Linked DNA regions of Rattus norvegicus. The protein of the gene in region 1 purifies or fractionates together with the protein of each later gene. This does not show direct contact. Links are inferred from orthologs where the notes say so. Each region holds a gene or a part of one and is shown in the gene's direction. Other genes may lie near its edges.

Evidence for each region.
Region 2: the proteins of Ankle2 (region 1) and Ppp2cb purify together in Homo sapiens (affinity purification with mass spectrometry; 4 studies listed by BioGRID and IntAct, counting the BioPlex papers as one, with this or other methods). This does not show direct contact. The link is inferred for Rattus norvegicus from reciprocal best matches to the Homo sapiens genes ANKLE2 and PPP2CB.
Region 3: the proteins of Ankle2 (region 1) and Ppp2r1a purify together in Homo sapiens (affinity purification with mass spectrometry; 7 studies listed by BioGRID and IntAct, with this or other methods). This does not show direct contact. The link is inferred for Rattus norvegicus from reciprocal best matches to the Homo sapiens genes ANKLE2 and PPP2R1A.

Annotation. Positions count from the first base shown.
Region 1 is NC_086030.1:52,080,741-52,084,375, reverse strand, and holds part of Ankle2 (ankyrin repeat and LEM domain-containing protein 2), read left to right. Parts: intron 1-2,574; coding exon 2,575-3,202; intron 3,203-3,635. UniProt on the Homo sapiens protein: Involved in mitotic nuclear envelope reassembly by promoting dephosphorylation of BAF/BANF1 during mitotic exit.
Region 2 is NC_086034.1:65,265,306-65,268,958, reverse strand, and holds part of Ppp2cb (serine/threonine-protein phosphatase 2A catalytic subunit beta isoform), read left to right. Parts: intron 1-3,142; coding exon 3,143-3,232; intron 3,233-3,351; coding exon 3,352-3,513; intron 3,514-3,653.
Region 3 is NC_086019.1:69,219,622-69,223,274, forward strand, and holds part of Ppp2r1a (serine/threonine-protein phosphatase 2A 65 kDa regulatory subunit A alpha isoform), read left to right. Parts: intron 1-869; coding exon 870-970; intron 971-1,956; coding exon 1,957-2,189; intron 2,190-2,890; coding exon 2,891-3,038; intron 3,039-3,144; coding exon 3,145-3,300; intron 3,301-3,653. UniProt on the Homo sapiens protein: The PR65 subunit of protein phosphatase 2A serves as a scaffolding molecule to coordinate the assembly of the catalytic subunit and a variable regulatory B subunit.

The DNA of each region.
Region 1 (3,635 bases):
CCCAGCACCCACGTGCGTGGTGGTTCACTGCCACCTACAACTCCAGTTCCAGAGGCTCCCACACCCTCTACCTCTGCTGGCACAGGGCACACGAAATGCACATGACACACAAGCAAGCAAAACACTCACGTAATAAAATATATTTTAAAAAAATGTTTTAAAGAAACACCTTAAACCTCTATGCCAACGTGGAGAGTTTCCCAGAAAATAAATGTGCTGTCCGGGCTCTGGACAGACCGTTGGCTTAGTCCAGTGTTCAAGCATATAGTTGAGGGACCCTCACCTACAGTTGAGGATTGGCTGAGGAAGTAAATAGTTCTATCCTTGAGCAGAAAAATCATGGCTTTAAATAAAATTATGCTTTAAAATTCTTTAAAGTAGTGAATGATGTAAACAATTAGAATGAGTGATGTAGAATAATCAGTCATTAATGTAGAAAAAAACTTTATATTTACATAATGTTAGTTTTCAAAATGTTTTTATGATTTTAAAAAATTTAATAATTTTATTTTTCTTGGATATTTTATGTATTTAAATTTTAAATGTTATCCCCTTTACTCCCTTTCCCCTCCCGCTCCTCTTGCTTCTATGAGGATGCTCCCATGCCCACCCACCCACTCCAAACTAATGCCCTGGCATTCCCCTACATTGGGGAACAAGCCTTCACAGGACCAAGGGCTTTTCTTTCTACTGATGCTGGACAATGACATCTTCCGCTACACATGTGGCTGGAGTCATGGGTCCCTCCATGTGTACTCATTGGTTGGTGGTTTAGTCCCTGGGAGCTCTGGGGGAGGGGGGTCATCTGATTGGTTGATATTGTTGTTCTTCCTATGGGGTTGCAAACCCCTTCCACTCCTTCAGCTTTCTCTCTTAACTCCTCCACCAGGGTCCCCTTGTTCAATCCAATGGTTAGCTGTAACCATCCTCATCTGTATCAGTAGGGCTCTGTCAGAACCTCCTAATTTTCAAAATATTAAGATGATTATAGCAACATTAGAGTTACATCTCACTTCAATGTTTTCCAACTAACATATTATCATTTTTGTAATTAAAACTAAAATGAAACAAACCTAGTAAATTTGACAGCACATTGGAAACAAGCTGGAAAGTCAAGAGTCTTCACTGTAGATATGTCCTCTAGCTAAACTCCCCTCACTCCTGCACTTCTGTTCTTGCAACGTAGAGCACCGCCCTCCCTGAAGAAACAGCTTAGGGTTGCTGTTGGTCTAGCAGCTCTTTATTCTATGTCAAAAATAAAACTGTGTTATGAGTCCAACTAAAGATAGTGGTCTTAGCCCAGTATAGCAGTGTCTATAGCATTAGCATCTAAGAGTAAGAGGGGCTGGGAAGGAGATCAGTGCATTGAAAACTGCAGCTCCACGGAAGGTTAGAGGCCAGGCTGGCCAGCTGGATGAGGCCCCTCACACACGGGTGTGCTAGTGAATGCCCAGAACTGAGGTCAGGAGGCAGGAAGGATATGGCCAACCTAATCTATGCAAGAAGAGGCAATCCAGGAATAAAGTATAGACACCCTGTCTCAAAAATAAAATGGAACAGGCAGGCCCTGGTGGTTCACCCTTTAATCCCAGCACAGGTAGGAGGATCTCTGAGATGGAAACCAGCCTTGTCTGCAAAGTGGGTTCTAGAGGAGCCAGGGATAACTGCAGCTTTGATTTCCCCAAAATAGAAATTAATGTCATTTAAAGCTTTCTAAGTTAAAATTGAAGTACTGACCTACAAATTAAATTTTCTGTAACAATGTAGGGAAGGAGGGAGAATATGATATATGTAAGTAGAAATTGGTTCCTTGAGGTGGCATAGCAAGTAGAAGCACTCGCTACAGATGCCTGGTGACCAGGTTCTATCCCTAGAACCCACATAAAGGTGGAAGGAGAGAACCCCACAAAGTACTCATGACTTCTAGTTTCATGCCACTGCCTACACACACACAGCACATGTTATGTATGTAGACACACGTCATACCAAATTAAAAATGAGTCTGAGAAGCAACCTTGAGTCTGCTGGAGAAAAGGCTATGTCCGTGGGCTATGGAAGAAGCTGCCCCAGGCTGGCAGTCAGTGTCAGGATGCATCTTTATGTGCTTGACTTGACTATAAGCAATTAGTTAATGTTGAAGAATTCTCTTATAGCAACTGACTTCAGTGTTACTCTCAAGTTGTTGATATTTCATGAGGTAGTTTTATTTTATATTTATTTTTTAAAGATTAGTTTTATGTAAGTGCGCTGTCACTGTCTTCAGACAGAGCAGAGGAGGGCATTGGATTCTACTATAGATGGTTGTGAGCCACCGTGTGGAATTGGACTCAGGACCTCTGGAAGAGCAGTCAGTGCCCTTAACCGCTCAGCCTTTTCTCCTGGCCCCATGAAGTAATTTTTCACGAGCTTCTTCTACATAGTATTTCTAGAACCTTATCAAACCAACTTGAGGGTAACTGGCCACGTGGTCCTTGTCTCAAAGCCTAACCCAGTGCAGTCATTTCTTGCTCGAGTTGTAGGGTTAGGGTTATAGTCTCATCCTGAACACTGACATGCAGTGTTGTTGCCTTACAGGCAGTGGAAAGAAGTACAGCAACTCCATCTCCGTGGGAGCGTTTCTAGATGGGGGTGATGACATTAGCTTGGAAGAAGTTAAAAATCAGCAAAATACAGTTCCAAGTCAGAGTCAGCCCTCAGTCGACAAATTCCAAAACTCCAAAAGTGGTTCCCCTTCCTTGGGACAGAAGGCGGACCCTGGAGAAGCCGCAGTTGGATTTTACCCAGATAACAGCAGAAATGGGTTTTGTTATCCTCTGAACAGCAGGACTGCAGATGGAAGGGAAACAGAGGCCACCAATGGAGAGGAGGCCCTTCCACCACCTGTTTCTATTTTGACTCAAGAGTTTGATAAACTGAATTTGCAAAGTCTAGGAGATAACCTTTTCGAGACACCAAATAAAAATAGGGAACTAGAGGATAAGATACTGGCTTCAAGTAAAGGTGTAGTAGAAAGTGGCTTGGCATCTCCTGCTGCAATAGCAAGACTTGAAAATAAGCAAGTCAGGACCAACAGTGAGGTGTCAGAGGCAATGGCTGAAATGTCTTTGGGCCCCAACAGCCCCCAACTTGGGGTTCAGGCTGGTCTGGAACCTGGGTTCTCATCTGCCACAGCAGATCCCACCAAGAGGCTCTTCCTGTCTGGGTAAGTTAAAGATGTTTGTAAACTGTAATGAGTGTACAGTTTTCTAATATCCTTGGGGTCTTCTCTCTGGGCTGTGCTAATCCAGTGTCAGTAAGGATAAGTACCTACAGAATGATTTCATCTGCCCTATGTTTAAGACTCAAACCCATGTTAGTAATAAGGGCACACGATACGACCAATGGATGGAAGACCCATTCCTGACAGCACTTACCTTGACCAGCCCTGGCCTTGCATACCAGCTCCCCCTACTCACTCACCTTAGGCTGGTTTAATATGCTCAGCCCAGATTGGTGGTGTTTTGTTTGTTTGTTGTTATTGTTTTTTTTTTCATTTATTTTGTGCTTGTAAGCTTTCCAACTTGGATACTAGAAGCCAAATCCAGTCCTCTGTAAGACCCCTTAGCTACTAAACCATTTCTTTAGCCCCTCCAGAT
Region 2 (3,653 bases), on another chromosome or scaffold:
GGTTGGTTTGGCGGTGGTGGGTTTTGGGTTTTGTGTATGCCTATTTTGGAGGGAGTCTCACTCAATTGCTCAGGCTCAGACTTGACCGTACTCTCAGCACAGCTCAACTCTCCTGCCTTATGTTCCCAAGTAGCTGGGGTTCTAGGCTTCAGTCACCAAGCCCTGCTTCCCCTGCCTCTGGTCTTCTGGCCAAAGAAGATGTGTGCCCTAATGTGTGCTCTAAAAAACAAAACAAAACAAAACAAAACAAAAACAGTGTAAATAAATGCTTAAGTCTTGGGGCATATATATTATTAGTAACACAAGATGTAATTGGAAATTGTGCCCATATTACTACGTTCCCTGGTTACCATTAGTAGCTTTTTATTCCTATTTTCATGATAACTACAAACATAATATTGTATATTATATCTTTTTTATCAAGAGGGATCTCTGTTTCCAGCATAGTAAGTTTTAAGGCATACATATAAGACATTACACAGGTTTCCTAGTTCACCATTTAGAGGCTGCACAGTGAGCTGATTTAAATTCATGTACAACACACAGAATAAAACTTGAATGTTAGCAGGTCTTTAATCCCTGCACTCAGGCAGCAGAGACAATGGATCTCTGAATTCAAGGCCTCCCTGGGCTAGAGTTAGTTCCAGGACTGACAGCTGCACAGAGAAACCATGAAAGCACAGCACTCTTGAAGGTGTAATGGATACTCTTTGGCTTGCTAGTCTGAGTATAATTTTGGATACTGTAATAATTAAAATGACAATACTTTACCTATACTTGCTAATGTGAATGAAAGTTATTAAAATTTTTCAAGTAATTGAAGTAAAGTCTTTTAGCTTTAAAGTAATGAAATTAATTTAGAAAGATAACAGTAGTATTAGTCATCTATCTGATTTTTAAACTTGGTCCATACATTGGTAGAACTCTTATGTATTTCTTATACTATCCAGCATTCTCCAAACTCATTAGTCTTTACTGTTTTTGAAGTATTTATAAGAAACAAAACAGCCAGCATACACACACCATTGTGACAGGCTATCATTTATGAAGTGTTATCACTGGAAGACACAAACACCTCAGAAATGAAGTAGATAGAACAAGTGGTGCACAGAGTCCTGGAAGGGAATGACAAGCTTAGGTCACACGTGGTGTTCAGTATATGGGTACCTAGCAATCAGATCTGCCTATTGTATGTGCACGTGTGTGCAGACGAGCCTATGGCGGCTGGAGGTTGCTGTCCTAACTCAGTTGATGTACATGTTGATTGGTGAGACGGGTTTTTCACTGATTCGTGTAGATAGCCTGGCCAGAGCCGCCCTTATGTCTCCAGCTTCCCAGCACTGAGCCTCCATGCAGTGCTGTGTGCCCGGCTTCTTACATGGTGCTGGGCTCCAGTCCCTGCGTGGCAAGCCTTGACTGCAAGCCATCTAGAACCAGGTCTGCTTTGTTAGGTTTGGGTTTAGGAGATTTTATTTTTGATACATTTATTTGCAGGGGAGCGAGGGAGGTTGGCCTACGGCAAAATGAAGTTGTCATGTGCTGAGCCATCTGCCAGCCTCCTTAAATATGTCTGTAGGCCAAGTATATGGGGCTTTAAGGAGCATGGAGCTGGTGGGAAAAAATGGAAAACTTGAAAATCCTCACAGATAGACATGATGTGCGACTATGATCCCAGCACTCGGGTTTCAGAGCTTCCGTGGCCATATGTTTTATCTATATAAGTTCAGTAGCCAACCAGATACCGCAGGCACAGAAAGATAAAGTGAAACCGATTTTGGTGGGGAGGGTGTCCTATATCAGTGATTTAAAATTCAGTTAAGAATCATATAGTGCTAAATGTTTTAGAAGATCCATTAACAGTCTTGTCTATTAGGGAAGCATGAGAAACCTCGTCAGACTCAGGAGAAAAGGCTGATGTGCTCACGTAGACCCATTCAGGAGCTCTGGGAAGAACTGCTGACGCCTAAGTTAGCCTGGGCTACATCCATAGCACATACATTGCCCCTGCCAATGAGCTGCTCACGAAAATCCTCGTTATTCTCTTCCTTAGTCTAGTCCTTGAACAGAGGGTAGTTCTGAGAAAAAATTTAAAACGCTTATATCATCCCACTTTATGTCAGAGTCCTGTAGGTGCACTGTCTACAATAAAAGGAACGGAAGACAACTGGGGAGGTGGCCGAGGGTGACCAACACCTTCTTCCTAATTTGTAAACACATCAAGTACTTGTTTGCAACCATGAAGATTGGTGCCTAGATACCTAGCAGCCATGGAGGGCACGGTGCCCGCCTGTGACCCCTCTCCTGGAGATGGGATTCCTGGAGTGAGCTAGCCACAGCAGCAAGCTTTCTTTTTTTTTTTTATTTTTTTATTTTTTTTTTTTATTTCGGAGCTGGGAACCGAACTCAGGGCCTTGCGCTTGCTAGGCAAGCGCTCTACCACTGAGCTAAATCCCCAACCCCAGCAGCAAGCTTTCAAGCAAGAGACCCTGCCTTGGTGAGGAAGGTGGAGGGATCAAAGAGGGACATCCACTACCAACCTTAGGCCTGCACATCTGTGTGCACCCACTAACAGGTCTGCATATACATGCAAACTACAGTTCGGTGTGCAGAAGTGACCCAGTGAGTAAAGTGTAAGGAGAGAAAACCCTAACAGTTGCCCCGACCTCTGTGAGATGTCTTCCACATCATACAATGAGGAAGGAATTAAAGGTGATAAGCTCTATAGAGAAAGTGTGTGAATGTGGGGATGTGCTCAGGAAATCTGAGGAACACCAAAAAGCTCATTGTAGTCAATACCAGAGTCAGGAGGATTGATGTTGAGAGACAGGAGTGTGAGCGGACGCAGTGACGGTGGTGAGCATCCTGTGCTGGGGCAGCAGCAGCCCCACTCTGGAGGCACTGGACTGCATGCAGAGGCCTCAGACCCCGGACCACAGCGGGGGAAAGGAGAGCCCTCAGCACTCGCCGCTGTGGTTACTGCTGGTGACCTGATCCTGCTTTGCGCTGTAGCTCACAAATCTTCCCGTCAGTAATACCATTGGGAAGGAAAGGCTGTCATGGCCGACGCTTGTCACCATTGCTTACTGTTCGTTAATTTAGCAATTACAAGTCAAAAACATGTTTTTCTCAATTTAAAAAACAGATATTCTGCCTCCACGGTGGCCTCTCTCCATCCATAGATACACTGGATCACATAAGAGCCCTGGATCGCTTACAGGAAGTTCCACATGAGGTAAATTTGGCAGTTACTTGTTGGTTTTGATTTTAAGGGAAAAAGTGTAGTCACGTGTGGGAAGGGTAACTCAATTAAACACAACTCATAGTATATATTTGTTCTTTATCCTTGTCCAGGGCCCAATGTGTGATCTCTTATGGTCAGATCCAGATGACCGTGGTGGCTGGGGCATTTCTCCACGTGGTGCTGGCTACACATTTGGACAAGACATTTCTGAAACATTTAACCATGCCAACGGCCTCACACTGGTGTCCCGTGCTCACCAGCTTGTAATGGAAGTACGTACTTTTCCTGCACATTGACCTGCCTCTCACGGTGTCTGCGTCTCTGATAAGGCTTCGTGCGTGACGCAGACGGAAGGAGCCAGAGCCCATTGCCAAGTCCAGAGCTCCATGGTTCTGTTAAAGCCATTGTCTGT
Region 3 (3,653 bases), on another chromosome or scaffold:
TTAAGGCTCCTGTGGAGGTCGAGTAACAGAACCTCTGGAAGAACAGTCAGTGCTCTTAAACTCTGAGCCATCTTTCCAGCCCCTCAGCTAGTTTCTTGAGGGAAAGTCAACAAACTTAGTTTTCTAGAGACAAAAGCCCCAGACTGGACATGTTCAACAGCTGTGTTGTTGCTGTTCTTGAATCTGGAAGTGTGAAGTCGGGGTATCAATAGCCTTGGTCCTGGTTTCTTCTGAGGCTGCTCTTTTTGGCGCTATTATGGCAAGTCCAAGGTAGAGAATGCTAGAATGCTTTACATTCCACTGGAGGTCAGTGTTTCCTTCAGCAAAGGCAGGGAGGGGGTTGGGGGAAACACACACACACACACACACACACACACACACACACACACACCTACCTTTGAGTTTGGGCAGTATGCTTTGTTTCCCTGACATTTCATTCATTCACATTCCATTCTGGCTCTGGCAGGAGCTGGAGCACACCAAATCTAGTCTTGGGCACAGGTGATCAAAGGTAGAAAAGAATTTCCTGGTTGAAGACATAACTCCTGAAAGTGAGTTCCTGCATATTTAAAGTTTTACTGAACATCCTGTGTTGCATTTATCTATGTGGTCTTTGTCCCTGTTGAGAGGAACCCAAAATTGAGGTTACAGCAGTTGTGCTACTCAGTTACCATCCCACACCTAGCATGGGCCAGAAAAGGCAGATATGGTGTTTGGACTTATTCTGCTCACCAGGTAGATGATGATTAGGAATGGCAGGTTGGGAGATAGGGGTGCTGACAGTGAGGAAGCTGAGTGGTTTTGCTTATTGGAAGCTTGGGTTACTGGTTCGGCTTGAGTTTTTAATGGGCTTGGTCTTTGACCCACAGATACCATCTATGATGAAGATGAGGTCCTCTTGGCTTTGGCTGAACAGCTGGGAACCTTCACCACTTTGGTGGGAGGACCCGAGTATGTGCACTGTCTGCTGGTGAGTGAAAGCTGCGAAGTTTCTTAATCCTCTTTTCTGCCTTGGGGTTAGAATGGTGGTCCAAGAAGCAGAGGATTTAGGAAGGCTGGATGTGACCTCAGAATGGATTACCTTTGGATGTAACTTTCACTCAAGTCAGTAGTGTCATTTAATCTATAGTCGCCATCCATTCTGCAAACTTAACCACACTAGGACCCTGTGGCATTCCACCCATAGGATTTTGAGTTTGGGTCGGGCCAGGTTCTATTATTTACTGGTATGACTTTAAGAGTACTATAGTAAGTATTCACAATTAGATTTTGTGGTTGTCATGGTTGTGTAAGATATGTTATCTACCAGTTTGGGTTGCAAGGTTCACTTGATGGCTGAACCACCTAGAGTACCAGTAGGTTAAGCCATCTCTCATCAGGGACTCTTAGCTAGTAATCATGCATTGTCAAGATTGTTTGCTTGATTGCACCAGGCTATACCATACCTTGCCGTACTGCACCGTACCATACCATACTATACCAAACCATCTGTGTATCTCTGTTGAGTGACAGCTAGAAACACCAACAGAATCCGATCCTGACAGGACCTGCTAGGTACGGAAGGATAACCAAGTGATCTTTTAGATCTTGGCTGTTAGCAGCTTAGGCAAATTGCATAACCTATATACTTCCAATTCCTGCTCTTTGATTAATGAGGATAGTATCAAAACTGTTTTACAAGACTCACATAGAAGGAGTTTTGATCAAAAAAAGGTGAGCAATACAGTATCTGAAACCTAGGTCATGGGTATTAGAGCCGCATCATTAGTGTTTATTGTATATTGAGAGCCACACACACACATGGGCCTCTTAAGAGATCCTTGTAGGAAGCTTGTTATCACAAGCATGGGGCTGGGGAGATAAGAGGAGTCTCCCTCCAGTCAGGCCATGAGGTAGGGTTCCACAACTGAAACAGTAAGAAAAACACTGGTCTCTAACCTTCTGTTCTCATCACAGCCACCTCTTGAGTCACTGGCCACAGTGGAAGAGACAGTAGTGCGAGACAAGGCGGTAGAATCCTTGCGGGCCATCTCTCATGAGCACTCACCTTCCGATCTAGAGGCTCACTTTGTGCCTCTGGTGAAGCGGCTGGCGGGTGGAGACTGGTTCACCTCCCGTACCTCAGCCTGTGGTCTCTTCTCAGTTTGCTACCCCCGAGTATCCAGTGCCGTGAAGGCAGAACTTCGACAGTGAGTTCTCATTCCCATCACTTTACCTAAACCCTCCTCTAAGCCTAATGTCCTTGATGTCTCCCTACTCCCTCCCTGCTCCTAGCTCTCTTCAAAGAGGCTTGTCCTTCACAGTGATCATTGGACACCATACCTCAGCATCGAATTTTCCTTTTCTGCCTTCATGGAAATTTATTCCTACCATTAGTTATACCTGTGGGCTTGGAGCAGAATACAATACAACAAATAGTATCTAGTGTTATCTCCAGCCTGCCCCAGGTTTAGACCCCTCATTTGATAACTGCCTTGTTGTTCAGACCTAATAAGCCAAAGTTTCTGAGTTGTCACTTCATACAACTGGGTTAAAGCCACATATATATATATATATGCACGTGCTGTATGTCTCCATTAGTTCTTAGGAGGCAATTGCTCCTGAAATGGTAGACGAGTCATTTGCATTTTAAACAGTTGTTAGTACTGTGTTGTACTCTTTGACTGAGACCTCAAGTCAGCTTTGTGGGGACTTGCTACTGCCATTGGTCAATTTATAGAGCTGAGAAGACAAAGAGGTCATGAATTGTACAAAGTCACCATTGTCAGCACCAGAATTTACTGCAGACCCAGCAGTGCTCTGTGCTGTGCTGTTCTGTGCTGTGCTATACTGTGACACCAGCTGGTAGGGCTTTCCAGGATTCCAACTCTGGGCCTCCATCCAATTCCAGGTACTTCCGGAACCTGTGCTCAGATGATACCCCCATGGTGCGGCGGGCCGCTGCCTCCAAGCTGGGGGAGTTTGCCAAGGTACTGGAGCTGGACAATGTCAAGAGTGAGATCATTCCCATGTTCTCTAACCTGGCCTCTGACGAGCAGGTAAGCCAGTCACCAACTCTCACCATGCCCTTGCTAGCTGAGGAAGGAATGCACCCTTAAGGCTCAGTGGGCCTCTGCTTCCCTGCCCCTCCCTGTGTTTTCCCAGGACTCGGTGCGGCTGCTGGCAGTAGAGGCATGCGTGAATATCGCCCAGCTTCTGCCCCAGGAGGACCTGGAGGCCTTAGTGATGCCCACCTTGCGACAGGCTGCTGAGGACAAGTCTTGGCGTGTCCGCTACATGGTGGCAGACAAATTCACAGAGGTAAGTTGGCATAGTTCCACAGATGGGAACACTGAAGCTTTCTGAGGGGAGGAGGGAGCAACATATAGGAGATGACATGCTTTATTTTTTAGGACAGCAGTCCGTCCTGAGTCTTAATGGGCAACCGAATCATCTCCCAGAGCCAGTCCTTGTGGGTGATTTGAATCAAAGTGCTGTAATGAGAATGATTTTGAAGCCAAGTTTCAATTCCATGAAAGCATTTTTCCTGAACTCACAACTTCCCTAAGAAAGACACAGCCCCAGTAATAGTTGTCATCAACCACATGTTAGTCAGATCAGGGACAAGTGCTCTTTGTGCCAAGATCCAAATTTTCTTAGCCAAGAGCATGTTG